Linked DNA regions of Saccharomyces cerevisiae S288C. The gene in region 4 interacts genetically with the main gene of each other region. Each region holds a gene or a part of one and is shown on either strand. Other genes may lie near its edges. The genes, in order: DGK1, RAD26, RAD18 and RAD16.

Evidence for each region.
Region 1: mutations in RAD16 (region 4) and DGK1 together harm fitness less than expected from each alone (positive genetic interaction), as found in Saccharomyces cerevisiae (2 studies listed by BioGRID).
Region 2: of RAD16 (region 4) and RAD26, changing one enhances a phenotype caused by changing the other (phenotypic enhancement), as found in Saccharomyces cerevisiae (8 studies listed by BioGRID, with this or other methods).
Region 3: mutations in RAD16 (region 4) and RAD18 together harm fitness more than expected from each alone (negative genetic interaction), as found in Saccharomyces cerevisiae (2 studies listed by BioGRID).

What each region holds. Positions count from the first base shown.
Region 1 is NC_001147.6:896,200-903,447, forward strand, and holds DGK1 (diacylglycerol kinase), read right to left. Parts: upstream 3,730-7,248; coding exon 2,857-3,729; downstream 1-2,856. Other genes in the region: U4/U6-U5 snRNP complex subunit SNU66, read right to left, coding at 1-188; RNA-processing protein NOP58, read right to left, coding at 626-2,161; 60S ribosomal protein eL20 RPL20B, read right to left, coding at 4,051-4,568, 4,995-4,995; SPS4 (Sps4p), read right to left, coding at 5,659-6,675; YOR314W (uncharacterized protein), read left to right, coding at 6,844-7,173. UniProt on the Saccharomyces cerevisiae protein: CTP-dependent diacylglycerol kinase that catalyzes the phosphorylation of diacylglycerol (DAG) to phosphatidate (PA). Controls phosphatidate levels at the nuclear envelope.
Region 2 is NC_001142.9:493,342-503,075, forward strand, and holds RAD26 (DNA-dependent ATPase RAD26), read left to right. Parts: upstream 1-4,013; coding exon 4,014-7,271; downstream 7,272-9,734. Other genes in the region: RAV1 (Rav1p), read right to left, coding at 1-3,110; PET191 (Pet191p), read left to right, coding at 3,342-3,668; putative E3 ubiquitin-protein ligase HUL4, read right to left, coding at 7,372-9,734. UniProt on the Saccharomyces cerevisiae protein: May be involved in the preferential repair of active genes.
Region 3 is NC_001135.5:227,574-235,305, reverse strand, and holds RAD18 (E3 ubiquitin-protein ligase RAD18), read right to left. Parts: upstream 3,807-7,732; coding exon 2,343-3,806; downstream 1-2,342. Other genes in the region: GTPase-activating protein SED4, read left to right, coding at 1-2,181; HCM1 (Hcm1p), read right to left, coding at 4,302-5,996; U2 snRNP complex subunit BUD31, read right to left, coding at 6,515-6,988. UniProt on the Saccharomyces cerevisiae protein: E3 RING-finger protein, member of the UBC2/RAD6 epistasis group. Associates to the E2 ubiquitin conjugating enzyme UBC2/RAD6 to form the UBC2-RAD18 ubiquitin ligase complex involved in postreplicative repair (PRR) of damaged DNA.
Region 4 is NC_001134.8:465,631-470,120, forward strand, and holds RAD16 (DNA repair protein RAD16), read left to right. Parts: upstream 1-1,617; coding exon 1,618-3,990; downstream 3,991-4,490. Other genes in the region: transcription regulator CYC8, read right to left, coding at 1-140; LYS2 (L-aminoadipate-semialdehyde dehydrogenase), read right to left, coding at 4,118-4,490.

The DNA.
Region 1 (7,248 bases), on a different chromosome or scaffold from region 4:
GAATTGAAATTTTGTTGGGGTGGGATAAGTTTTAGGCCAAGGGACGCCCTCAACTCATTCGTCTCTTCGATTGACAAAGACTCTTTATGGTCTGTATTCTTTTCTTGAAAAACTGGAATAGGTTTCATACCCAGCTTTTCCCTTATTTCATTTGTCTCCTCAATAGAAAGGTTTTCCGTTTTGTTCATAAATTAATTAAGGGTTGATGTGATGATTGCCTTTTTATTAATATCAAATAGTAACGATTGCACCATCTCATCCTTTGCTCACTTTCAAAAATTTTGTATATCTTTTTCGTCCCGCGAATAATTTTAAGTTGCGCAGTTCACGATATGAATACCTATAACTGCTAATGGTACAAATTTTTTAAAGGTTAAACAAAACTTTTAATGATATAAAGTACCTAAAACTATGTAAACATAAATTATGTATACTATTTCAAATATATCACCTAAAAAAAATAATAAGTTCAATTCAATATGGGCGTACAGCACTAATTTACAGATTATGGAATAAAATATGAAATGAGAAATAGGTTAAGCATTGGATAATTATAGAAAATTTTCTAAATCCAAATAAAAGGGAACGCGAGGGGTCACTAATTATTAAAATGTAAAATGCATCCTTATTTCTTCTCTTTCTTCTCTTTCTTGGACTTCTTTTCCTTCTTCTCTTTCTTCTCTTTCTTCTCCTTCTTTTCCTTCTTTTCCTTCTTTTCCTTCTTGTCCTTCTTTTCCTTCTTAGCTTTTTTAGAATCCTTGGAATCTTCATCATCGTCTCTCTTTCTCTTCTTTTCTTTCTTTTCTTTCTTTTCTTCCTCTTCATCATCAGAATCGGATTCAGAATCAGAAGCAGCCTTTGCGGTATCAGCATCTGCATTGTAGGCCCTAGCTTCAGTCATTTCCACCTTCTTAGCCTCACGAACAACCTTTGGAGTAGTTCTTAAATCTCTACCTTCTAATTGGGATAATCTATTTTCTACTTTGGCTCTTGATTCTAGACCAATGTCACCTGAATCGTCTCTATCTTCAGCTAAAGCATCATAACGCAATGAGACAGCGGCCTTAGCAGCCAGAACTCTTGCAATCTTACCTTTGTTCTTACCAGTAGCTTGACCAACAAGAGAGGCATGATATAGCAAACCATACTTTGGTGTATCATGCTTGGTCTTTAAAGCTCTGAATAAAGCCTTTTCGGCACCTAATATTTGGATGGTAGAAGCTGGTGATTTGGCCAAGGAAATTAAGGAACCTGAATGAGCGATAAGTCTAGCACCAACTAATTCACCAACCAACTGAGTCAAGTTTGGAGCAATAGCCTTCATTCTTGCAGACAAGTAATTGGACAACTGTTCTCTGTAAGCGGCAAATTCGACTATTTGTTCAGCTAAAGCATTAATGTTGTCTAGATCGGTTTGAGTGATTTCAGTACCCATAGACACTTCAGCAGCGGTTTTGACACGTTCTTCAATCTCTTCTGGTAAGATTTCACTCAAATCTGTTTCAGAAGCCTTGGATCTGATACCCATTGTTAGAATAATTCTCGCATAAGCGACGGAATCAGTAACAATCTTAGCTAACTCAGGAAAGTGCCACCCGTACCATTCTTTACATCTCATGGCATATGTGTTTAATTCTTTATCTAAATCATCCAATAAAGCAATTGCTTGAATAATCATAACATCAACTTTGTCAGCAGAAAATTTTAATTTGTGACGACCGATGGAATGAGCTAAACCCAAAGACATCTTGCTTAGATCATTATCAGACATACCTGGCAGCAATTCTGGCAAATATTCTTTGATAGCTCTATAGATATCTAAGGTTACAGCATCGGAAACAACATTGAAGTTCAATCCCAACTTATTAATAGCGTTTGCCAGTTTAGTTTCACTAACAATCAAGGTCGACTTCTTGTCCTTTTTAATTTCTTCCAGAAGTTTTTCTAATTGGGAAGAAACTTTACCTTCAATAATGGAGTTGGCTTCCTCTAAAGCGTTAGCTGCAGAGTTGAACTTGGAAAAGGCGGCGATCTTGAATTCCTTCAAGACTTTGTCAGAGCTATCCAAGTCTTGAATTAAGCTTGAAGATTTGTAGATTTTCTTATCGGAAGCTTTTAAAAGAGCATAACCAGCTGAAGTTTCAGTTAAAACGTAAGCCATTGTATGAGGAGGTTGAGGTTCTACAGCTAATTTGGTATCGACTGCTATTTCAAAAATAACTTATATGCGAAATTTTTGCGAAAGCATAAATAATTCTTGCTTTTCTGAAAATTTTCGATGAGGTTGAAAAATTTTCCAAATTTCTTTTTTTCTGTTCTAACGTACACAATGATATCAATATCAATAAGGCCACTGGGCGGTAATCGCAGATAAACCATATATCCTTGAGATGCCAAGATAAATGAACGCTGGTTCAGGATCTTGGTAATCGTATTTCGCAGGATTGTTCTTTTTTATTGTTCTCTGATATGATTGCTTTGTGACAAAGTTGGGGCATGAAAAAGCCTTTTTTTACTGATGAAAATATGGTGTAGGTTTACGATTAAATAATAATGTTGCGCCCCATTTGGATGCGCTTGTTGGCACATATATTAGTAACATAAATGTTTTCATAAAACTGCTTGTGTCGAATGTTTCTAATGGCGTGAAAAATACGGAAATACTGCTGAATAATTTACACAGGTTCTAACTCTATACTCGGATATGTAGGATATTTAGAAAAATAATTTGTGGATGCCAAAGATCGAAGAGGTGCTGGATCGTTAACCACAGATAAACTGAATCGCGCACTCCAGTTACTGTAAAAAAGACTTACCGAAGAATATAAAACACTCCTGTTTTTGGTATATATGCTTTTATTTCTTGAATGTTTTGATTACTGCGTTCATAAAAAGTGATGACAGGACAGGAATAGTGAAATTATCATCCCAGTTGAACAAATCTATACCTTCACTCAAAGCAGCTACCACACCACCTAACAAGGATAGCATATTCAAACTTAATCTGCTTGTTTCTGGGCTCCATTGGATCTCGCCAGGTTTGTTGACGTAGCTGTAGGCAGGAACAAAATAGCCATAAAATACCCAGCAGGTGATAACACCAACTGTAAACGCAGCTATCGAACCTGCAAGGGATTTATTTCTTGCCACTTTGGGTGTTAAATGACCATACTTTCTTCCAATAGTTGCGGCGGCTGTATCGGACCAACTTAGCAAAAATAACGATATTAAGGTAACATCTTTAGAGAAAAAGTTAAAAGAAAAGATTAACCCAAGAATGTACCACAATACCCCATTGTATGTATGAATCTCCTTTTTTCTCATTAGCGCACCCACAGTTCTACAGTAAAGCATATTGAAAAAGGGCCAGTTTAGTCTTATCAGATCCAAAATAAACAATATGATGAAGGCGTATATCAAAGGCCATAAAACATTTTTATAATTAATACCCTGCGTATACAGGTACAAAGTAATAAAGCCAATGGAAGAATGGAACACCTTACGGGGAATTTCATGTTTAGTTATAAAATCGCCGAACCATTCATGAGATTTCAAATGTATTTCTGTCACTGGAACGTGTGCATCGTCATCGCTACTACTAATTTCTTCTTTTGCTGGAATCGTTACTTTCGCCGAGACTTGATGACTCTTAGATGATAGTCTTTGCTTAGCTTCGGTACGCGGCTCTAGCGTGCTATTTGGAAGGGCAATGGCATCTTCGGTCCCCATATTGTCTGTAAACCCTGTATGAATCCAAATGACAGAAATGCGTAGATATCTGTTTACGTAATGTTCAACTGCTCTACGACAACACCGCTCAGGATTTTTATAATTACGCTACGTTTTATATTTATCGCAGAAAAACCAATAATTTGTTACCCGCTATGGACCCTGGATTTTGTAAAGATACATGGCATGACATTGTGCTTTCACGCTGGTAGTGCATAATGTAAGAGAAGAAACAGGATATATTTTAAAATTTCCTTGAATCTACAAAATGAATTATACAAAATTTTATTATACTAAAAAACGTAGAAATATCTTGTTGGCTTAGTAGAAGGTTGATGGTCTCTTGTAAGAGAAAGTCTTGGTAGATTTTTGGACTCTGTGAGGTAATGGGAATTTTAAATCCTTGGTCAAGAATTGCTTGACGTATTGTCTCTTGACATCAGCAGTCTTTTCAATTTCAGCAACCTTCAAGATGTGAATAGATCTAAATCTAGCTCTGTGTCTAGCAGCCATGTCTTGGTATAAGGTTTCGACGGCAGCAACTCTGGATACGTCTCTGATTTCCTTGTACATGTTGTGAGTACCAGATCTGGAATCGTATCTAACCCAAACACCGAAGTTCTTGACCTTGGTTGGGTGAGCTTCGTTGATTTGGTTGATGGAAACAATTTCACCAGAAGCCTTCTTAACCTTGTGCAATTTTTGCAAGAAATACCAGTAACGAGACTTGGCGATGACTTCATTTGAAGCAAAAATTCTCATTCTGAACAACTTTGGTTCTGGAACGGATTCAGTTGGTAAACGACGACCAATGACTTGGTATTCTTTGAAATGAGCCACTGTTAAAGATAAAAATCAAAAAAGAATTTATTCTTGTTAGTAAACTTGCATATTTCAAAAATATTGCTTTATTGCAGACAATTACATGTAAATGAATGTTTCAAAATAGATCTCTGATTCAGTTAATTTCCTCTATAATTCCTGGATGGTAGTTCTATAGTCCTCATGTGAAGACTTCTCAAATGATATTAACCATATCATCAGTATTAAATGGTACACCGCCTTCCTTCTAGAAGCAATTTATGGTAATAATCGTATTCAGTATTCGGCGTATTTCAGGAAAAACATTCACAGGTTGCATTGACTTATTGGGTATTCTTCAGTATTTTAAATTTCCACGATATGTTCATTCAATTTGAGCTCACCATATAAAATAGCTACATTGACATTCATTCCACAAGCATACAATACATTCTATTACATACTTTTTCTTTGCTTGATTCCTTTGTTACGGTTCTCTTCTATTATCTTCTGCAAAAATAATGCCCTCAAAAACGGTTATATCTATCTATTAGAGTTACTTCTTCGTACTGTTGCCAACTCGAGCGGAAAGAAATTAGACAGAATCTGGCGGAAAATTGAGAAAGAGCTAGACAGACTATGCGGAACAACTTGGAATCTGCCTCTGTCCGTGTGGCCTGGCCCTGGCCTGGGAAGTAACTGTCTAGGCCGCGGACATTTTTCTCTTCGGTAGTAAGCCGCCCTACTGGTCATGGGGTTACCTGAAAGAGATAAAAATTCAAAGATAGCATCGCGCCGTCGGAAACGTAAAATGTACGGGTGAACAGTCCCGAAAACCGTATTTATTGTTTTGGGGAAGAGCTTGTTTACTTCGTGCCTACAAACAATCAGCACCTTAAGATATGACAGAATAGCTTGCTATTTGATTTTTTTTTTATCTAGCTTGTAAATATTTATTAAGCCTTTCCTTACAAAAAAATATATTTTCTTTTACCTCTTTTTTATGTTGAGCGTGTATACATTGGTAAATTTAAGTTCAGTGCTTTCAATAGATAACACCTATTGAATTTGCGCCAGTAGGTACAAATTGAAATTCTCGCCTATATTAAAATTATTTTCTATGCGAACTTATTGTACTAGATGTGGTAAATCTCCTCCCTCAGATTTGTTGCCAAAAAATCTAAACAAACTTCTATCGGTGACAGAGGCCCAAATTTCGCGTTCTAAATCAGTTATGGTATCCCAAGTACCTCTCAATACATTTTTCATTTTTAAATCGGCCTGTTTGTCTAAGTTTTTATTATAAACAGAGTTTGTATGATATCCATAGGCAATGGGAAGCTTTGCAATACCAACAACTTGATGACTAACTGCAGAAACTGCTCTTGTCATAAAATTGTATTCTAAAGCTAGCCCCCTATTAAACTCACAAGAAAAGGAATCATTTGGAACTTTCTTACCTTTGGGCAAATACTTTACCGTTACCTTTTCGAATGTATTATTGACTGGTAACAAAACAGGGTCAAGTTGCCCCCTTATCAAAGGCTTGCCCTTTGTGTCTATGAATTTTTCATTATAGTACTTCCTAAATTTCATCAACCTTCCATGGACAGGTTGGTAAACATAGTTGTCTCCATTTCTTGCTGTCGTATCCCTGAGCTGCTTTCCATACTTTTTCGACAAAGTATACGGAAGTGCAATTTCCTCACCTAATCTTTTATAAGTTTTTGTTTTCAAAGAAGGGACAACGCGCTCTACTGTACTTAAAGTCGAATTGGCCATCTTGTCAAAAAAATTGACCACTGGTGCTACGGCTTGAACGGGACGTGACACTACCACTTTATCGATTCTAGGCTTTGTTTGTGCTAAAATAATTCTCGTTAGAGCAATCTTCTTTGCAATCTCTTCTGTTTCTTGCACTATTGGATAAGTTTCTATGTGATCAACTGTTTTCAAATTTAATCTACCCCTCCTAGCTGCATGTTCATTTGCACTGAGATTACTGTTTTCGGTAAAATTTTCTGTAACTGCTTCTTGTGTCTGCGATTGTTCCATTTCATTGGGTTCATTCGTGTTTTTGTGTAAAAAATTCTTATTTTCTTCTTGTGGTTTTGTAACCTTCACTATATTCAAATTTGATGGCATGTTTGTTGAAATATGTTATGTGAAACCAATGTAGCAAAAACAATTTTTTATGTTCTTGTTGCTTGCCTCTCAAAAATAACAAAGGAAGAAATTTTGTCGAAAGTGTAGTAGAAGGAGGTAAAAAGTGAACACTTCTTAGCAATTTATAGTTCCAAAATTTATGAATTAATGACAATGATACGTTTTTGTGGCGCGCGTCAATCGGCGATAATCAGCAACGCGTCTGACGCTGCTGCAGGAACCAACAAAAAAAGGATACTAAACCCTCTTGAGTCCTTGTGTCTTAACGACCGCATAGACGAACACCGTTGCAAAGAAGTCCAGTTATCTTCATTACGAAGTCTATTGTATGCTATGATTTTAAATAGAACCATAGGCAGCGAGACCGGCGTTTTTTCTTTTCTGCTCTTTTCTTTTCGTTACTTCGGAGAGGAAAGAGACTTATTTTACTGCTTCTTCTCCGTCTTTTTACTTAACATTACATATTTATTGGATTAGAACTTTTGTATAGGGGTAAACAATACTGAGGATATTCATAACTATCTTTTTTAGGTCTCCTTGGCTCTTTTAAGT
Region 2 (9,734 bases), on a different chromosome or scaffold from region 4:
AAGAGAAAGAAAACTGCTGCATCCATATATCTATGCTTACTTAGCAGAACAAAAGCATTTTTGAGTGCTGCCGTTCTCCACCTCGGTACAGTGAAATCATTACTGATAAATCTAACCATCTTTTGCTGCTCAGGATGACCAATAGCCATCTTCCACAAGCTCAATAGTATCTGTTTTTTCTTCAACGCAAGATAAAAAATAGCACAACGGCTTGGATCCCTCTTATCATCTTTGGAAAATTCATATTTTGCAATATCCTCGAATTTCTTCACCAAGTCCTGCTCCTTAATCCAATAGGCTATTCTATATTCTCGAGCGCGATTCCATGAGGTTATGTGGCGGTCAATAGAAGATAATAATATTTCTTTATTGTCTGAGTGCAATGCCCAAGACACATCCCTCATCAATATGCTTTTTTGAATATTTTTATGTGATAAAAATAACTTCACGCCCAACAAGAACCTAACACCGTTGTAATCTACTATATTCTCATTTTTGGTGACTTCATCCACTGCTTCAATGACTGTGATAAGCGTGATCTGCTGGTGGCGGGTTAGATAAGGCAAAGTTGTTTTCGTTAGTTGCTCAGTAAGTGCTAGAGACACTGTCTTATTGAAACAGGGGTATGGATCAGGGAAAGATTCGACCGGATAGTCTCTATCTTTAGCAATAAAGTACTTTAATGGATCCATTCCTAGATTGGAATCCAAATTAGATACATCTTGCGATTCAAAGTCTAATTTTCTTAACGCTAAAAACAATCTTAATAACAGCTCCTTGACAAGTTGTAACTTATTCGCATAAATGGCTTGAATCAAAAATTGTGGATGATAAACTGGAAGTGGACCATTTAAAACACTACTTAAATGGAGAATATCATTTGATAAAATTTTTCTTGAACCAATTGATTGGTACGTAAATGGATCAGTCAAATCCAGAGATTTATCCTTGATGTAAAATTGATTTCCGGAAGCAACAACAAACGTGCCATTTTTCATCCATACGGAGTCACCTATATTATGAGCTGTATGTGCTGTGATATCAATTTTTTCAATAGGTAGGTAACTAGGTGTGTTGTTCGTGTAATCATACCTTAATTGAGTATAAAGTAAAGCGTATCCTGTAAATCCGATAGAGACAATGCTTTGGCCATATTCCGTGCTTGTCCAATCTATATCCTCGATAGGATTATGAAATGTTTCTTCGTATTCAAGAACTCCCCTGTTCAGGTCCCATAGTGACATTACTTTACCAGTAGAATTAACAATACATAACTTACCTGTAGATGATCCTCTAATACATGTACAATTCATTATTCCGGTGTTAATTTCACATGCCTTGATCCATTGGACATGCCTATCATTATAATTAACGATGGCTTTATACGTTCTGGTAAGACCTTTTTTAGTAATCAAAGAAATCAAAGGCCTGTTACTCACAAAAGTTTGATGTACAGGGTCAATAATGGAGATCTTGTATATGTCGTCACCATCGATATCTAATGAATCAGACTTTACTTCAAAAATACCACGTGTTAAAGAGACTTCAAAAGCTTTGATTGAACCATCAGAGAATATTAACGCGGTGAAATGACGCTCATGACTATGCTTTGGCTCAGGTGTATTTAACATAACTATTGGATGGATTTTTTTCTCCTCTTTCAGTCTCGTTTCCACACGTAAATATGATTGCTTCTGTTCACTGTCCTCCTTACGATTCGTTGGACATTCCCAGGCTTGTAAAGCCCCATTTTCGAGAAGACAGATGACCTGTTTACCCAACTCATGTACAACTGCAAATTTTATGGGAGATTCTGTTTGTATTGTATTTTGTAACCGCAGTGAAACCCCATGGTTTAACTTTTGTGGGTACCAAACGCCATTTTCTGAGAATCTCGAAGTGGTTAATAAAGCTTCGCCGTCGCTGCTTCTTACCAACTTCTGCACAGATTTGTTATGTCCCGTAAATTTGTGCTCTAAAGCGGCACTCAGATCTTCGGTTTTATTGTTTATAAGCTGCAGAATGTCGATTAGTAAATGTCTGATTACACCTTGTAAATCGTGGACGAGAAAAGAAAGTTTGCCCTTCACATTGTCATAGGGTTGTATTTCGGGGAGGTACAAATATCTTGTATCGTTTAGCATAGTTGCTTTCTTGACTTTTTTATGGGAAATGGTCTTTTTAGTCATTGGTTTTGGAGGATCTTGGGAAAGATTATTCAAAGCCAAAACTTCCATTTCCCCAGTCATTGAACCCAGAATAACAATGTCTGAGTCAGATATATCAAAGATTTCCGAGTCTTTCACACTGAGAGTTTGCCTAATGATCCAATTGTCTATTATCACGCAGAACTTCTGCGTGGGGGAAAGAGGCACTTCACCCCATATTTGCACAGTATGGTTTTTCTCCATTTCAAAACAAGACCATATTCTCAGAACTTTATCTTCACACAGCGTATAAAGAGCATGAGAGGCAGTGTTGTTTTTACTCACCTGGTCTGGCTCTTTTTTCCACCGCATTGCAGTTATAGGTTTCGGATGAGGCAACATAGTAAGGTTAAAGATGGCTTGTTCTCCGACTATTGAAACACGCTTCCATAGTTTAGCATTACAGTCGTACTTCCCAATACTGACTATCAGCTGCGAATCTTGTGATATAATCACATTATAAACAGGTTTAGGCTGTTTTTGGTTCCACTGCAAAATAGGTTGATACACACCAAAATTATCCTTAATTTTCCAAAAAGAAAGAAAATCAGATCCAATGGCTAACTCATTATCAGAAGACCATCTTAGGCAGTTTACTGGCGTGTCATCATGGAACAACTGGCAACATTGGGTCCACTTGGGATTCTGCATAATTTGATGAATGGGCTTGTAGATGAGCACCCTATTGTGGAAGGAAAGGGCAATGAATCCATTCTGGCTGTTAATATCGACCGCAGTACAGTCTGATTGTGTATATATGGTCTGTAACCTAGTGAATTTGTTGGTAAGTATGATTAAATTATTCCCTGAACAATATGCAAAGATGGTATGATTTTGCCATGTTGCTTGACAAGCTGTCTGAGGGGTAGCATTGGGGCGTCCTGGAAGAAAGTTCAATGACATGAGAACTACCTTTGCGTGTGCACGTTTGTTTACTTTCTCAATTGTTTGCGGTGTTCTTAGATCCCTTTAATTATTAAAAAAACTGAAGTGCTTGAAACAATAACATAACGAGGTTTCGCTATGCGGGCAGCTTTAAAGAAAGAGGGATAGTATATTAAAAGGCTGCCATAACAATTAATCGGAACAGAATAGACACAAATAAATTTGCAGTGCGTTTGTAGATATCAAAGAATGGTAGCTAGTTGTAAAGATCAGAAGAAGGCTGTCGCTATATGTTTGCAGAGATCGCCCTGTGTCATGATAGAGAGACATAACCCTCAAGAATGTCTTGACAATCCAGAGCTGAATAAGGATCTGCCCGAACTTTGTATTGCTCAGATGAAAGCATTTTTGGATTGTAAGCGAGGAATCGTCGACATGACTAAGCGGTTCACAGGTAACGCACCTCTGTCGACTGGCAAGTACGATCAACAGTACGAAAACTTGTGCAAAGGAAAGTTTGATCCGAGGGAGGAGATGGAAAAGCTAAAACTTCTGAACAGCCAGCAGAAGGACTGATTATTTATGAAAATTGGCCTGTAAATATATACATAAATAAATATATGCGTCAAGCTCTTTTATTCGGTTTGTCCAGTAATCCTCTTACAATATATATATATATATATACGCATGTAGCGTATTCAAGAACATTACATTTAAAAAATAGAGGGTAGAACAATAAAAATGCACTTAACAAGTTCCGTAAGTAGAAATTATAATCAGTCTAAGTACAAATTTATACCTTAGCTTCATTTCAGTTAAGGGCGATGCAATAAAAGTGGAAGAAAAAAAAAGAAGGGAAGAGGTTTGATAATATATATATATATATATATATAACATTGCTCAGAGAAACATACATCAGTGATGGAAGATAAAGAGCAGCAAGACAATGCGAAACTTGAAAACAATGAGTCACTAAAAGATCTGGGAGTTAACGTGCTTTCCCAAAGCAGTTTGGAGGAAAAAATAGCTAATGATGTAACTAACTTTAGCAACCTACAATCGCTGCAGCAAGAAGAGACTCGTCTAGAACGGAGTAAGACCGCTCTGCAACGTTATGTCAATAAGAAGAATCATCTCACAAGGAAGTTGAACAATACCACTAGGATATCTGTTAAGCAGAATCTCCGAGACCAGATCAAGAACTTACAATCAGACGATATTGAACGAGTTCTGAAGGACATAGACGATATCCAATCAAGGATTAAAGAGTTGAAAGAGCAGGTAGATCAAGGTGCTGAAAATAAAGGTTCCAAAGAGGGGCTGCAGAGACCCGGTGAAACTGAGAAGGAGTTTTTAATCAGGACTGGTAAGATCACTGCATTTGGACACAAGGCTGGTTTCAGCTTGGACACTGCAAACAGAGAGTATGCCAAGAATGACGAACAAAAAGATGAGGATTTTGAAATGGCAACAGAACAAATGGTAGAAAATTTAACGGATGAGGATGACAATCTCAGCGATCAAGACTATCAAATGAGTGGTAAAGAGAGTGAAGATGACGAAGAAGAAGAAAATGACGATAAAATTCTCAAAGAACTGGAAGACCTGCGGTTCAGAGGCCAACCTGGTGAGGCGAAGGATGATGGGGACGAGTTGTATTATCAAGAAAGGTTAAAAAAATGGGTGAAACAACGTTCTTGCGGTAGTCAAAGGTCATCGGACTTGCCAGAATGGCGAAGACCTCATCCGAATATTCCCGACGCAAAACTTAATAGCCAGTTCAAAATACCCGGTGAAATATACTCGCTGTTATTTAATTACCAAAAGACGTGCGTTCAGTGGCTCTATGAGCTTTACCAGCAGAACTGTGGCGGTATTATTGGTGACGAAATGGGTCTGGGAAAAACGATTCAAGTTATCGCATTTATCGCAGCGTTGCATCATTCAGGTCTATTAACAGGCCCTGTATTAATTGTCTGTCCTGCAACTGTGATGAAGCAATGGTGTAATGAGTTCCAGCATTGGTGGCCTCCATTGAGGACGGTCATATTGCACTCAATGGGTTCAGGAATGGCTTCTGACCAAAAATTTAAGATGGATGAAAACGATCTAGAGAACTTGATAATGAATTCAAAGCCAAGTGATTTTTCTTACGAGGATTGGAAGAACTCAACAAGGACAAAGAAGGCATTGGAATCAAGCTATCATTTAGATAAGTTGATAGATAAAGTCGTTACTGATGGGCACATTTTAATTACCACGTACGTTGGGTTAAGAATACATTCAGATAAGCTACTAAAAGTTAAATGGCAGTATGCTGTTTTAGATGAGGGACATAAGATTAGAAACCCAGATTCGGAGATTTCATTGACTTGCAAAAAACTGAAGACACATAATAGGATCATTCTTTCAGGAACACCGATACAGAATAATTTAACCGAGCTTTGGTCGCTTTTTGATTTCATTTTCCCTGGTAAATTAGGAACTCTACCTGTGTTTCAACAACAGTTTGTCATACCTATAAATATTGGTGGTTATGCAAACGCAACAAACATACAAGTTCAGACCGGCTACAAATGTGCTGTTGCATTGCGTGACTTGATTTCACCGTACCTGTTACGTCGTGTGAAAGCTGATGTTGCAAAAGATCTGCCACAAAAGAAAGAAATGGTTCTCTTTTGTAAGCTTACGAAATATCAAAGAAGCAAATATTTGGAGTTTCTGCATTCTTCAGATTTAAACCAAATACAAAACGGTAAGAGAAATGTTCTATTTGGTATCGACATTCTAAGGAAAATATGTAATCACCCCGATTTACTTGACAGAGATACAAAGAGACATAATCCAGATTACGGTGATCCTAAAAGATCCGGAAAAATGCAGGTTGTCAAGCAATTATTATTACTGTGGCATAAGCAGGGCTATAAAGCCCTACTCTTCACTCAATCGAGACAAATGCTCGATATTCTAGAGGAGTTTATATCAACGAAAGATCCCGATTTATCACATTTGAACTACCTACGAATGGATGGGACAACTAATATCAAAGGGAGACAGTCGTTAGTTGACCGGTTTAACAATGAATCTTTCGATGTATTCTTACTAACCACAAGAGTTGGGGGGCTAGGTGTTAATTTAACCGGTGCTAATAGAATTATCATTTTTGATCCAGACTGGAACCCATCTACTGACATGCAAGCTCGAGAAAGGGCATGGAGGATTGGGCAGAAAAGAGAGGTATCAATATATAGGTTGATGGTAGGAGGTTCAATAGAGGAGAAGATTTATCATAGACAAATATTCAAACAATTCTTAACCAACAGGATTTTGACTGATCCTAAGCAGAAACGATTTTTCAAAATTCACGAACTCCATGATCTGTTTTCACTGGGGGGTGAAAACGGTTATTCTACAGAAGAATTGAACGAAGAAGTTCAAAAACATACCGAAAATTTAAAAAATTCCAAATCAGAGGAAAGTGACGATTTTGAACAACTGGTCAACCTATCTGGCGTATCTAAACTAGAAAGCTTTTATAACGGTAAGGAAAAAAAAGAGAATAGTAAAACAGAGGATGATAGATTAATCGAAGGGTTGCTAGGAGGAGAGAGCAATTTAGAAACCGTTATGAGTCATGATTCGGTTGTCAATTCGCACGCGGGCAGTTCTTCTTCGAATATAATTACAAAAGAGGCTTCCAGAGTAGCGATTGAGGCGGTTAATGCGCTAAGGAAATCGAGAAAAAAGATCACTAAGCAATATGAAATTGGGACACCTACTTGGACAGGTAGGTTTGGTAAAGCAGGTAAAATTAGAAAGAGAGATCCGTTGAAAAATAAATTAACTGGATCAGCTGCCATTTTAGGCAATATTACAAAATCACAAAAAGAGGCATCCAAGGAAGCTCGCCAAGAAAATTACGACGATGGTATAACCTTCGCAAGATCCAAGGAAATCAATTCCAATACCAAAACGCTAGAAAATATTCGGGCATATTTACAGAAACAGAATAACTTTTTCTCATCTAGTGTTAGCATACTTAACAGCATTGGCGTCAGTCTTTCTGATAAAGAAGACGTTATTAAGGTTAGAGCATTATTAAAAACCATAGCACAGTTTGATAAAGAGCGTAAAGGGTGGGTGCTTGATGAAGAATTTAGGAATAACAATGCTTCATGAAAACTTAGAATGGACAGAGTACCCTTGACGTAACTTTACCCATAGAAATATCTATAAAAAATATGTATGTGTTATGTGTATATGTATATTCTGAAGACTCTTAGCGGAACCCGTAACCTTCAGATTCATTAATTGCCCAAAGTAATTTCAGTTCTAGTTTTTTTTTCGAGGAATAATTCCATAAACATATTTCATTAAAACATGTATGAGCCAATGGCAAATCATCACTATCATGCGACCCTAGCAAGCTAATTTTGAATGGGATAGTAGAGATACCCGTTGCAGGTATACGATCAGATGCCGTTACGAATTGTAATAATTTCTTCTGCAATGGATAGTCCCAACTTTCAATAATTTCCCAAAACCAGCAAACCGCTCTGGAATCATCGGAGAAGCCACCTACATACTTTGTCACGGATCTTAACGATTTGAAATCAAATTTAGTTTGTTCCTCATCACCACACACTAATCTCTCCAGCTCTTCAGAATTAAATAATTTTATAGAATTGCATTCTGCGAAGACCCTTTTAAAACCTGAAACAAATTTATTGTATTGTGGCTCAATGGACTTTTCCAGATAAAATTCTACCCATTTCATGACAAACTCATGCTTGTTACTTTGGGTTATTGGCACATTTCTGCCATTTTCACATAATTCTACCGTTACATACTCTTTGCTCGATTTACTGTCATTTAAAATCCAGTTGTTATTTCGATACGTAGTCTCAAATGTTAAAGAAAAGACGTCTTCGAAATTATCCTCTGTGTAATTGAGCATTTTTATTAAGTTCCTACTTGTCTCCGGAAACAATTCCGAGTAATCTTCAAAACTCAGAGGCTCTGAGCATAGTTTTTTATAAAGCGCCTTTGGAAATTGTAAATCTAATATGGTACTGTTGAAAATCGCCAACCCCATGACAACTCCAAACAAGTAATATAATTCCAGTTGTGAGTTTTTTCCTTTTGATTTGTCAAAATTTGGAGGGTCAATGGCAAACCATGAACGTGAGCTTTCTTTTATGTAAATAAATAAGCCATTCATCGGATTAAACAGCGATTTTGTTAATAAGAAAAACCATTCTTTTCTCAACCCTCCCGCATCAATTCCAGGTTCATTAACAAACTCTATTCTCAGCGATTTTAATAAATCGCCTTGATGTTCCTTGATACATCTCAATGAATCATGAGAAATAACGTCACGCCGTACTTTGATTTTGAAATAAACGTCTACGGATTTGCCTTTATCCAGTGAAATTAAAAAAGCCTGTTCAGCTTCATGTTCCATGATTCTGCGAATTTCATACTCCATAATAGAGATTTTGATGCCGAGTGACAATATAAATGGATACTTACAGAATGAAAAACATTTTTTTGTCGTCGAATTTCCCCACTCTTCAATCAGTTGATTCATTTTTGTCTTTTGAGCTACTCCTCTCCAATGATCGAAATCTTGTTTATAATCTATGAAGTCTAGCGTTATATTGTAAAAGCTTTGAATTGACAACGCTCCACGGCCATTTCTTCTAGTATTGGCTACATAATAGATGAACGTCAATTTTGCTGCAGAGTGAATATGCCAGTCTTCCTCATATTGAAAAAATTTAAATTTCATCTTATTATTGACGGGATGCGTGAAACCACTTCCCTGTTTATCATTTGATTGTGCACTTATTGGTCTAGTACTCAGGAATTCATGGCCAGTAGTGTGATGCCGACGAAGACGAGATCGCATCTCATCTTCAGGCTTCACGTTATTTTTTGCGGTTCTATTTGATAATTCGTTCGACAGTAATCTGGAAAATTGGAAATTGATGTATAAATTTAAAATCTCTACCTGGTATGAAAAATTATCCGTAGGCGTTCGCCGTAATGATTGAATCAATTGTTGAGATGTTTTTGTTGATAGGTTAGACAAGTAGCCAATACATCGTTTGGCCAACTCATAAGACACCGCCCTTATTTGTTGGGTCTCAAACACATTTTTGCTCTTCCGATCTCTAATAAGGCAGGTTCGTATTGTAGGTATATTTAATATAATCAGCAACCAACGATACTGTAATATTTGCAAATTTTCCCCTTTATTGATTGTTATTCTCTTCAGTAGATCGTTACAGCAACACAGCATACTATAATACGGTTTCCTTGTAGGAAGATTTGATAATATACTGTAAAATCTTTGTAAAACTTCATAATTCAGCATCTTTATATTCTTTCCACCATCATGTACCAAGAACGACCTGTTTAAAATGCTAACATCATGAAATCTGTCCAGTAAATACGTTATTACCGGTTGGAAAATCAACCCCTTTCTTTCTTTATCCAGAATCCCAGTCTTCTTAAGCCGCTGCAAATCATCATGGCACCGCCTTACTACCATCTGCAAACCCTCTAATGTGCACGAAATATGCGTACTAGATTCCAAATTACTGTTAATTTCCGGCTCCTTTACAATAACTGTTACTT
Region 3 (7,732 bases), on a different chromosome or scaffold from region 4:
ATTTTACGAAATATTTGGAAATTTTTCTTGAATTTTGTTTTGTTAGTGGTTTTGGCTGGCGCTATTCAACTAGGCTACAAACATAATGTGCACGGCTTTATTTACAAACATGCTCATGATATATATAAGTCGAAATTCAAGGAAAACACTACCATAGACCAAGGATCTTCTTCTTATTTCACTATTAATGACGATTACAGAGGCATTACTGAAAGTGCAGATATCATCAGCGCTACAGATGTTGCTAGCGATATAGAGACTGAATTTTCCTCATTTGACACTAGCACTATGAGAACCACCACAGAAGATGAGCAAAAATTTGTTTGGATATCGTCATCAGCTGATTCACAATTCACTTCTGCAGATATCCCAACATCAGCTTCTTCTTCTTCTTCTTCTTCTTCTTCTTCTTTCTATGAAGAGAGTGTCACTAATGAACCAATTGTGTCTTCACCTACCTCTGAAATTACGAAGCCGCTAGCCTCTCCTACAGAACCGAATATTGTCGAAAAACCATCGCTTCCACTGAATTCAGAGTCGATAGATTTGTTATCCTCATCTTCAAATTCTATCACAGAATATCCTGAGCCGACTCCTGACTTGGAGGAGAAATTGTCCTCGTTAATAGTAGAACAATCAGAAAGCGAAATAACAACAGATAGAGAAAGCGTTTCAAAACTCTTAAGTACTGAATCACCTTCGCTATCACACATGCCGTCTTCATCTTCATCTTCATTATCTCTTTCCTCATCGTTAACAACTAGCCCTACTACAGCATTATCCACAAGTACCGCGACTGCGGTTACCACCACACAAACAAACCCCACCAATGATGCAGCCAACACATCTTTTCTAGACAACTCAAAACCGGCATCCACGAGAGAGATTTATAAGACAAAAATAATCACTGAAGTCATTACAAAAATTGAGTATAGGAATATACCTGCATCAGATTCCAATGCAGAAGCCGAGCAGTATGTTACAACATCTTCTTCAATGTTGTTGACGCCCACAGACACTATGGTTTCTTCGCCCGTCTCCGAAATTGATCCCATAGCATCAGAATTAGAGCGTATGGTTGAAACACCTACGCATTCTATTTCTATAGCATCCGAATTTGACTCAGTTGCGTCTAATTTGATCCCAAATGAAGAAATTTTGTCAACATCAGCATCCCAGGACTCTATTTCCTCGCATCCGAGTACATTTTCTGATTCATCTATAACCTCTGGCTTCCAGTCAATAGAAGTATCGACTGTAACTTCTTCTGTTCTTGCTTCTGAATCAATCCCTTCAATCTCAGATTCCACTTTTTCTAAATTTCATTCCATCTCTGAACCTGTTTCATCAGCTATTGTGGAGACGGCAACTAGCTCATTCTCAAAAACAGAAACGAAGACTTCGAGAGTAATTGCTTTCTCTACCGAGGATTCAGAACGCTCCAGTGCCTTGATTGATAATTCGGAATACACCAGTGTGTTGGCTGACAATTTGGAACCCACTAGTGTTTTGGCTGACAATTCGGAACCCACTAGTGTTTTGGCTGACAGTTCGGAACCCACTAGTGTTTTCACTGATGCTGTACAATCACCTAAGACGAGTGTTGGTCAATCTTCCCTATCAGAATCCACAAATATTGAAGGGACTTCTATGGCATCTATGATCTTTAGTAGTAGTGGTGCTTCAATTGGCGCTCTGTCTGATATAGGCAAGGGAACTTTATCCGTGGAGAGCGCGTCAAGCACAGTAGCTCAGCCGATGCCAGGTGTAACCACAACAGCACCATCTTTTGTAAGTAGCCCTCACAAAATATCTGCTAGTTCAATTGATGCATCAGGATTTGTACAGAAAGAAATAATGATAGAAGTACAGTCATCAAAAGATTCATCTGAAGCGTTTGGGGTACGCCACAAAATCAGCGAAAATGTAAATACTCCTGTTTCCCGAATGCTTACGACGGAAATGCAGGCATCTGGTACGGTAGATGTTACCGAAGACGTCTCTCTATCTAGTGAAGTTATTTCAGCACTTAACGTGGAGATCACTTCTTTGCCTAATCCAGTGGCCCCTCCGCAAACAATTGCAGCACCTTTGAATAATAATTCGAATACAAACATTGTCAACGATGATAATGCAGTAGCAGGAACCGTAAACTACGCTGGCCTTCATGACGAATTGTGAATAACGAAATAATATATATTAATGTTAAATATGATTACATAGCTTTGTGCACATATCTCTATGTCATCTTTTATGCATTTATATTTTGCCCATTTTTAAATAAATTATTAATTAACAAATGTGCACAAGCTAACAAACAGGCCTGATTACATATACACACCTTAATTGTTACCGGGTGGGTCTTTACTATATTCATTCAAGTCCATTAATTCTCTTGATAAGTCAGCATCAGTTGAATCTTCGTTAGGCAAATTTCTTTCACCAGCAACTCTATCTTCGTTGATAACAGTGTCCTGATCCTTCTCCATTTGCTGATCCTCGGTTCCCTGGTCACTTTGAACTTTTTCAACACCATCTCCATCATTAGAATGTCCCACTGAACCTGAACTGTCCGATGAACCTGTTTTTATTTTCATTTTTGCTTCCCTGATAAGCCTAGCAAAATCCTTCCGAAACATAACCATCCATCCTTTCCTATTAAATTTATCGTTTTTGAAATTTTCAAGTAATTTCCTATATGAAGAAGATTTCCCATTACTCTTCATTATCATTAATTTAGAAATTCCACCCTTGTTGCTACTATTTTGGGGGGTTTTATTGTGTGAAACATCCCAGCTTAACAACTGTCTTTTTAGTTCAGCTTCATCAACAGGTTCTAGAGAATCACAAAAATTAGAATTCCAAAGCATTTCGTAGTGATTGTATCTTTTAATCATGTTTTGCCTAGTACCATTAGTTGACAGTCCCAACGATGACAGTTTTTGTTTTATTTGGGATTGAGTCATAGACGTAAAATTGATCTTCGGCAATCTTTGGTGTTCTGCACTCATCATTGAGTTTAAATACTTATCCACATGTGAGGTCTCACCACATGAGCTTTTGTCGACTTCTGGAGTTCGTACCTTGAATCTGGATGAACTTTTGTTATGTGGATTTGACTCTGTAGGGAAAGTGGTAGAAATTTTTGGTTTTTTGCCTAGTGATTGTAAAGTTAGGCATTCATCCAAATGTGTTTTTTCAAGGGCTTTAAGAGGATAAAATTGTTGACATATGGGGCACTGGGCCATTTGTTCATTTGGCTTTGATTTTTTCTTGATACGTTCACTTCTGAACATTGCAAAATTCCTTTTGGATGGTTTGGAACTCAGTGGTAATATATCAGTCATGGATCTTTTGGCAAGTTTTCTTTCACTTGTTGCAACAATTTGCAAGTCATCATCAGCGGCATTTACACTGTCACTTTCAGACTCTGATATGAGTTCTATCCATGAAGAATTTTCAGGACCTGGTACTTCCTCATTCTCAGGGACAGGGGTAGGCTTCGGTATCCTTAGTGCATCTAGTAAGGAAGATCGTAGGGATGTATAACTTTGAATTATTTCACTGACCAGGAACTCACTTCTCAGCAAGGACTCTCTGAACTCGAAAAGGCAGAGAGGACAATTTGGTTGGTTATTCAAATGTGTTCTAATACAAAGGGAACAAAATGTATGGCCACAAGGTGTTAAGACGGGGACTTTTAGAAAATCTTTACAAATGTGACATCTCAAAAGTGTATCCAATTGGTACAGGCTCGGTATTGAAGTAGTCGTGAAGTCGCTTGCAGTGGTTATTTGGTGGTCCATGAGTAGTAAAAATGGCCTTTTCTTAGTAGCTGTGATGCTCACTTGCGGATGGTTTTTCTTCTAATGTGGCATTGCTCAAGTGGTACTTAGTTTTTCACTTTCTATTGAAAAATGCAAGGCAACGGGGCAAGTAAAAATAAAAGAGATCAAAAAGGTAAGTGAAGTGAATGGAAACTTCAGCTAAATACTGTATTAAAAATCCGTAAGGATCAAAAATAAAGATATGTAAAATATAAAACTTAGAAAAAAAATTTGTATCATTTTTGTTATGATTACAATTTTTTCCTGCCTCTTCTGCAATTGATTATACCATAGAAGAGCGGGAAAAGAAGTTAGTTGACCCGACAATACAATAAGATTAAAAAGAAAATGCTATGTGATATGATAACTCCAGCCCAGTTTAGGACTCATCCAACCGTTTGCGATGAATCCATCAGATTAAGAATAATTAGTTTTCGGTGAGGAAAAGAAAATGAAAAAAAAAAAAAAAAAAAGTCAATTCTTTTCATTACCGCTATCGTTGGAAGGGTGATTATGATAAGGATGATGTTTTTGATTGCTATCCGTAGTATTGTTACCATCAGAAATCTTTTCAGTTGCGCGCTTCCAAACAGAATAAACATCCACGCCAAACAGCCCGCTTGAAGCAAATTTGGAATTCGTTGCGCTTGTGAGGACATCGGGTGCAGAGGACTTTCTTGGTGAAATTTGGGTTTCCAAAGTGCCCCCCGGCGTCGTGATATACCTGATTGGAGTCTCTATAGCTCTAAATAGCGGAGAACAGTACAAATCTTCAAAAAGGTGTGAAGGAGTCTGCCATTTCCTCAAAATCGAGTTACCGTCCTTAGGTGTGCTTATCAACCGCGATGGGGTTTTCTCTAAGCCATCGGAATGCCTCATCTTGGGTGTTTTAAGTAAGTCCGAACCATGAGAGGAAGGTGGAGGTGGAAGTTGAGAATTGGAATATGATTGCTGAGATTGTGGTTTCGACATGAGCGCAAGATTTTTCTGATCGTACAGCTTCAATGGGGAATACGGAAGTGGGTCGAGTAGAGAACCAGCCCCTACATTACTTCGAAGTGGAGATAAATCTTCAAAATTTGAATTGAATGAGGTGAAATATTTTCTGAAATTCTGAGGAGACTTTGCGCTAGTTATAGGGAGTGTATTAAATCTATTTGCCTGGGTGATATTATTGTTTTTCACACCCGCCTGGAAATGATCTTTGGCATTCACCAGCGACGGTAAGCCTAAAGAAGTATGATATTTCTTCATGACATAAGGAGGTTCCAAGGAATCTATATTGTTGACATCGTTTTCTATCATGTTCCGCATCGATTCTAGGTTTTCGTGAGGGTTCAGTACACTGTTGTCTGTTTTCAATTGCGGTATGTGATGTAACTGGGAAACTCTCAGTATAGGGGAGGAGTTCAATTGAATTTCAATGGAAGGGAATTTCCCTGCTTCCTCTCTTTCTTCCTCGTCAGGAAGATCATCATTGCCTTCTCCACTCTCAACTTGTTCTAATTCATCAAGTGTAGAATCTATTTCAAAATACTTCCCAATGTCTTGTAAGGAGTCCTTTACAAATTCATAACCACGATTTTCACCTTTGAAAAATTTTGTTTCGGCACCCGGTCTGACCTCCCAGAAATGACCCTTACCATCGCAGGACTTTTCAGTCTTGATGAACGCATCATTTAAAGACAAGTTATGTCTTATTGAATTTTGCCAACTAGCATCTTTCTGCTTGTAATAAGGGAAGTGAACGTGGATCCAATGATATATCTGGGATAGCGTTAGCTTTCCCTCCTGAGATTGCAAAATGGCCAAGCAAATCAAAGTTGCATACGAATATGGAGGTTTCTTGGCGAGTTCACCATTTATTCTTCTTCTTTCCAAAGATTGAAGAATTTCTTCCAAGGTTAGGTTACCATTGGACCGAGCGCATGTGTCCGATCTTTGGCGCTTGGCCTTAGATGGAGCAATTGGGGACGAGTGATCCGGTGAGAGGGGATGCGACGGCCTCTTATTTACTTCCTTCATTGTTTTTCTCACAGTTGAGCTCGGGGGAGTAATCATTTCCTTTTCGTCTTCTAGTGTTCTCTTGGCTTGGGTTAATAGCACGGTGCTTTTTTCCGTTAAAAAACTATTATGGCCATCAATGATGGATATGTCTTCATTCATCATTGAAAAGTTGGAATTTTTGTTGATTTTTTTTTTTTTTGCTTCGAAATAAGAGGTAGTTTCGGTCAATAAAAGAAGCTCAAATAGTAGATGTAACTATAATAAAAGGGGGGAAAAGAATAGAATACGATTTAAAGCGTTGGAACCTCTGTTAAGATATACTCTATATGATTTTCAATTAATCATGCAACATATATTTAAAGTTTGAGAAGGATCAAAGGGCACCGTAAGGGAGGAGAAGAAGTAATTTTTTGATTTTAAATGAGGACGCGTTTTAGTCAGTGTTTCAGATCCTTATTACATCCACAGGTTTTAACGCGTTATCTTTGTTCCGAAAAAAAAAAAAAACGGAAAAATATATTTTTTCGCGTCGCGTTCTCGCGTCTGTTTTGTTTTTTCGCGTTCCAATGACCAAAATGGGAAAGTGGTCGTCTTTGACGAAGGAGACGAAAACCTCTTCTAAAACGTTGGGAGAGAGATAATTACATGGCCAGAACAATACTGCAACGTGCATATAGTCGTTAGTCTGTGCTTGCACATCCACGGCAGCCGCAGTGGACGCACTGATGGAAGGACACCTGTGTGCCCTTTTTGCGTGCTTCTTCCTCTAACTGTGCACGAGGCACCCTGCAGATGCAAGTGCTACCGTTGTTAGTTTCGTTCTTTTGAATGCAGCGCAGACAGCACAGTTTTTCATACCCGGTTTTGCGCCATTTGGCAATTAGCAATTTATCAGCATACTTTTCCTTTATCAACCAATCGTAAAGGTCTTTGGAGATGGCCTTTCTCTTGTAGTACAGAGTATATATGTATCTAGAGCGCTGGTGGTGGAGTTGCATTATCTCCCAGAGCTGCTCATTGGACTTTGCTGCGAGCTTAGACGACTTGTCCTTTTGGGCATCTCTGAGTTGGATTTCGAAATCTGTGAGGGTTGGCTTGATTTTTTCGAACCCGTCAGGTGCAGGCTTGGATCTTCTGGTCTTTATGCGCGGCATGTCGTTTTGTGAGGTGAGCTTTGCTAGTCTTGACGGCTGTAGAGGTGTTTACATTGATGATGAGTCCCTAAGAAAATTTTTCTTTTTTTTTCAGTATTTCACTTTCCGTTGTGAACGACAAATGTACTATGCGTTCAAGAGCCAACGCAGTATCATCGTCAAAGTTCCTACCACAACGCGTGTGATTGATCTTGTACTGGTTGTAAATGTGCTAAGTCTGTGACTGCAGTGAATAGGATTGTTTTAATCAACGATGTTATTTAAAAAAAATTAAACGACACCAGCAGGATTTGAACCAGCGCGGGCAGAGCCCAAGAGATAGCCGAACTTTTTATTCCATTCGAGTCTCTCGCCTTAACCACTCGGCCATAGTGCCATTTCGATTTGAAATTATGGTTTAAAGCGGTAGGTTTTATACATGTTTCTAGGCGTTTTTTCACAGATCCAAGACAGTAGAGCAGCTTGGCGTAGGTAGGATGGTGAGTAGAAAAACTAAAAAAAGAAAAAAGGAAGGAAGAACTTATTATACATTATGTAGAGTAACTAATTTTCATGTCTTTTGTGGATTATTTTACATTCTCAGAGAGAACCTCCAGTAGAGTCATTATACATAATATATTCACTTTTATCAGGTATGGGCCCTCAATAATCGTCATTGAACTCAATTCCAATGAGATCTTGCTTATTCATTTTTATAAATTTTGAGGAAGCGATAACGCATTCAGAATTGACTGAATGCTGGAT
Region 4 (4,490 bases):
TCCGCAGTTGATTGTGTTAATGGGTCGAGTGGCTGCTGAGGAACTGCTGCCTGCTGTTGCTGTTGCTGCTGTTGTTGTTGCTGTTGTTGTTGCTGTTGAGCGGGTTGTTCCATTATTGTTTGTTCACCGCCCGGATTCATTTTTCCTAATTTTTTTTTTCCAGTCGTGTTTTGTTTGTTGTTGTTGCTGTTGTAGTTGTAGTACTAGTCTAAAGGCTTATAGCAGTGAAAAAGAAAAACAGAAATATGGGAAAAGAGGTAACGGGAATACGCCTCTGGTTCAAAGACTAGTGACGTTGTCGTATTTGGCTTTGTTGATTCTAGTTCTCTCAATTGAACTCCTGACGTGGTTTGTAAAAAAACAGAGAACAGGAAACAAAAAACAAAAAGACAAAGAAAAAAATGCGCTTTTGCTTTGATAATCGGAAGGGAAAAGAACGACCGACCGAAGAAAAGAAAAATAAAATAAATTTAAACAAACCTTGTTCGAGTTGGATAGGGGAAAAACGCCAAAAAAAGATGGAGTACAGTACGCGGGAGACCAGTGGCTAGCGACGGGAGTAGCAACGATCGAGAAAGGAGTAGCGCAGAGAAAAGAAAGAAAATAGAGAGATAAAATAATTAGAGCCGATACGGCACCCGTGCGATACGAGACAGGACGGAACAGTCCGGTACGTGTGGTAAGTTTTACGAAACGAGAGGACACGGCATGACATGGCCCACGTTATAAGGCAATTTCCATTTTAGCATTGGCAAACGCACAAGCACAAAAAAGATGTGGAACAACCACTAAGAACGGAGTGTGCACGAAAAAAATAAGCTTTTCTCGTGCCCTGAGTGGTGCACAAAAGAAGAAAAGGGAAAAAAAAAGCGAACGAGGAGTGACGTGGACGCGATGAAGGTGACTCAGCCAATCCGGGTGAGCCGCACCCTTCGTCCTCAGTGACCTCTCACGTGCCCTGTATCAGCCAGCCACTGACAGTTTTGTTTTTGCCGCCCAGCTCAAAACTCAGATCGGATGTGCTTTAGTTTTTATCTTCGTTATGTGGATGTTTCATTAGCTTAAAGCATAGGATACCGAGAAACCGTAACGGTTTCATGTTGACCGGTTTTTGAGTTTATGGTTTTAAAGTTCGTCAGTTGTTCCGACGCTTAGATTTTAAGGAGCTTGTCAAAATGCCTAAACCACAATCCTTACAGCACTCAAAATCAACAAAAAGTGAGAAGGTTTGAAAGTAGTACATCCCCTCTTCCCTTTGATTTTTAGCCGCCAAAACTACCAACCCACACAGCACAAAATGTGTTACTCCTCGAAAAAATCTGTTACCCTTTTCCCGCCATGGTTGCCAGGGAAACAGTGGGGACTTCTGCGTTGCTTCTATTTTTCCCCCCTCCTTCCTCCTGCGCCTCCGTTTCTTTTTCTTCCCTTTTCATTTCCCTTTTCTTTTTTTTTTCAAGTTTCGGATTAACGCTATAAAAAAAATGCACAGATAGGACCTTAAGGACTAATAAAACCGACAGTATAACGACGTAATGCTGCGTGGTGTTTTCAAACCTTAGTAGTTTTGGTAATTTTAGATACTCTTGGCCGTATAACTGGTGTACCAACTGAAAAATCATGCAAGAAGGGGGCTTTATCCGTAGAAGGCGTACGAGAAGTACGAAAAAAAGTGTTAATTATAATGAACTAAGCGATGACGATACAGCTGTGAAAAACTCAAAAACTCTGCAGCTGAAAGGGAACAGCGAAAACGTAAATGACAGCCAAGATGAAGAATACCGTGATGATGCTACGCTCGTGAAATCACCCGACGACGATGACAAAGATTTTATCATAGACCTAACAGGTTCAGATAAAGAGCGGACCGCCACCGATGAGAATACTCATGCGATCAAGAATGATAATGACGAGATAATAGAAATCAAGGAGGAACGTGATGTTTCGGATGACGACGAACCGTTAACAAAGAAAAGGAAGACAACTGCTAGGAAGAAGAAGAAAAAAACGAGCACCAAGAAAAAGTCACCGAAGGTAACCCCATATGAAAGAAACACTTTGCGATTATATGAGCATCATCCTGAACTAAGGAATGTTTTCACGGATTTGAAAAATGCACCTCCCTATGTCCCCCAAAGATCCAAGCAGCCGGATGGTATGACCATCAAACTGCTACCTTTCCAGTTAGAAGGTCTTCATTGGCTAATATCTCAAGAGGAGAGCATTTATGCGGGCGGTGTTTTGGCAGACGAAATGGGTATGGGTAAGACCATCCAAACTATTGCCCTATTAATGAACGATTTGACTAAGTCTCCGTCTTTAGTTGTTGCCCCTACCGTGGCGCTGATGCAGTGGAAAAACGAAATAGAACAACATACAAAGGGACAACTGAAAATATACATTTATCACGGTGCTTCCAGAACCACGGATATCAAAGATTTGCAAGGCTACGATGTTGTACTAACCACTTACGCAGTGCTGGAATCGGTATTCAGAAAGCAAAACTACGGGTTTAGAAGGAAAAATGGACTTTTCAAGCAGCCTTCCGTATTGCATAATATTGACTTTTATAGAGTTATTCTGGATGAGGCACACAATATCAAGGATAGACAAAGCAATACTGCTAGGGCTGTAAACAACTTAAAAACGCAAAAGCGATGGTGCCTGTCGGGTACTCCGCTGCAAAATAGAATTGGTGAGATGTATTCTTTGATCAGATTCTTAAATATCAATCCTTTCACAAAGTACTTTTGTACCAAGTGTGATTGCGCTTCGAAGGACTGGAAATTTACGGATCGCATGCATTGTGACCATTGTAGTCACGTCATTATGCAACACACGAATTTCTTCAACCATTTCATGTTGAAGAACATTCAGAAATTTGGTGTGGAAGGTCCTGGTTTAGAGTCTTTTAATAACATTCAGACATTATTGAAAAACATCATGCTGCGAAGAACTAAAGTGGAAAGAGCGGATGACTTGGGTCTACCGCCCAGAATTGTTACCGTGAGGAGAGACTTCTTCAATGAAGAGGAAAAAGATCTTTACAGAAGTTTATACACAGATTCTAAAAGGAAGTATAATTCCTTTGTTGAGGAGGGTGTTGTTCTAAACAATTATGCAAACATTTTCACCCTAATCACAAGAATGAGGCAACTGGCAGATCATCCTGATTTAGTTTTGAAAAGATTAAACAATTTTCCTGGCGATGATATCGGCGTCGTGATCTGCCAATTATGTAACGATGAAGCTGAGGAGCCCATTGAATCTAAATGTCACCATAAGTTCTGTCGTTTATGCATCAAAGAATATGTGGAATCTTTCATGGAAAACAACAATAAACTTACTTGTCCTGTTTGTCATATCGGGCTAAGTATCGATTTGTCTCAACCTGCTTTGGAAGTGGACCTTGATTCCTTCAAAAAGCAAAGTATTGTTAGCCGTCTAAACATGAGTGGCAAGTGGCAATCATCAACGAAAATCGAAGCACTTGTGGAAGAACTATACAAACTGAGAAGCAACAAGAGAACGATTAAATCCATTGTGTTTTCCCAGTTTACCAGTATGCTGGATCTGGTAGAGTGGAGATTGAAAAGAGCTGGATTTCAAACAGTGAAGCTTCAGGGTAGTATGTCACCGACGCAAAGAGATGAAACCATCAAGTATTTCATGAACAACATTCAATGCGAGGTTTTCTTGGTCAGTTTAAAGGCGGGCGGTGTTGCTTTGAATCTTTGTGAAGCTTCGCAAGTATTCATTTTAGACCCATGGTGGAACCCTAGTGTTGAATGGCAAAGTGGTGATAGAGTTCATAGAATTGGTCAGTATCGACCTGTGAAGATCACAAGGTTTTGCATTGAGGATAGTATAGAAGCAAGAATCATTGAATTACAGGAAAAAAAGGCAAATATGATTCATGCTACAATAAACCAAGATGAAGCTGCCATTAGCAGACTAACGCCAGCTGATTTACAGTTCTTATTCAATAACTAATATTTTATTCTCTTATTATATATTATTCTCGGAGTTTTTAAGTGACATCACCCGAAAAGAAGCTAAGTCTTTCTCCTAATTCATATTTAATTATTGTACATGGACATATCATACGTAATGCTCAACCTTAAGCTGCTGCGGAGCTTCCACGAGCACCAGCACCTGAAGCAACTAGACTTATTTGCGCTTGAGTTAGTTCTATACTTGGCAGTGGAAGTTTGTCATTATGAGTTGGTGGAGGTAAAAATCCAACCTTGTTTAAAAATGCAATATATATACCAACCTCTTCTGGAGTAACACCTATTCCATTAGACCAATCAACACCTGTCCATGCGGTGTCTTTCTTTAAAGATGCCACGGCGTTCCTATCGTCTAGTTCCGGAGCTTTGGTACTTTCAGGTAAGTTGTCTAAGACCATGTGTAGCAAAGGATACAACGCATTTTCTTCATTCCTGTCAATAACAGACGCCTCCAATGATTTCTTCCATTTAGAATAGCTT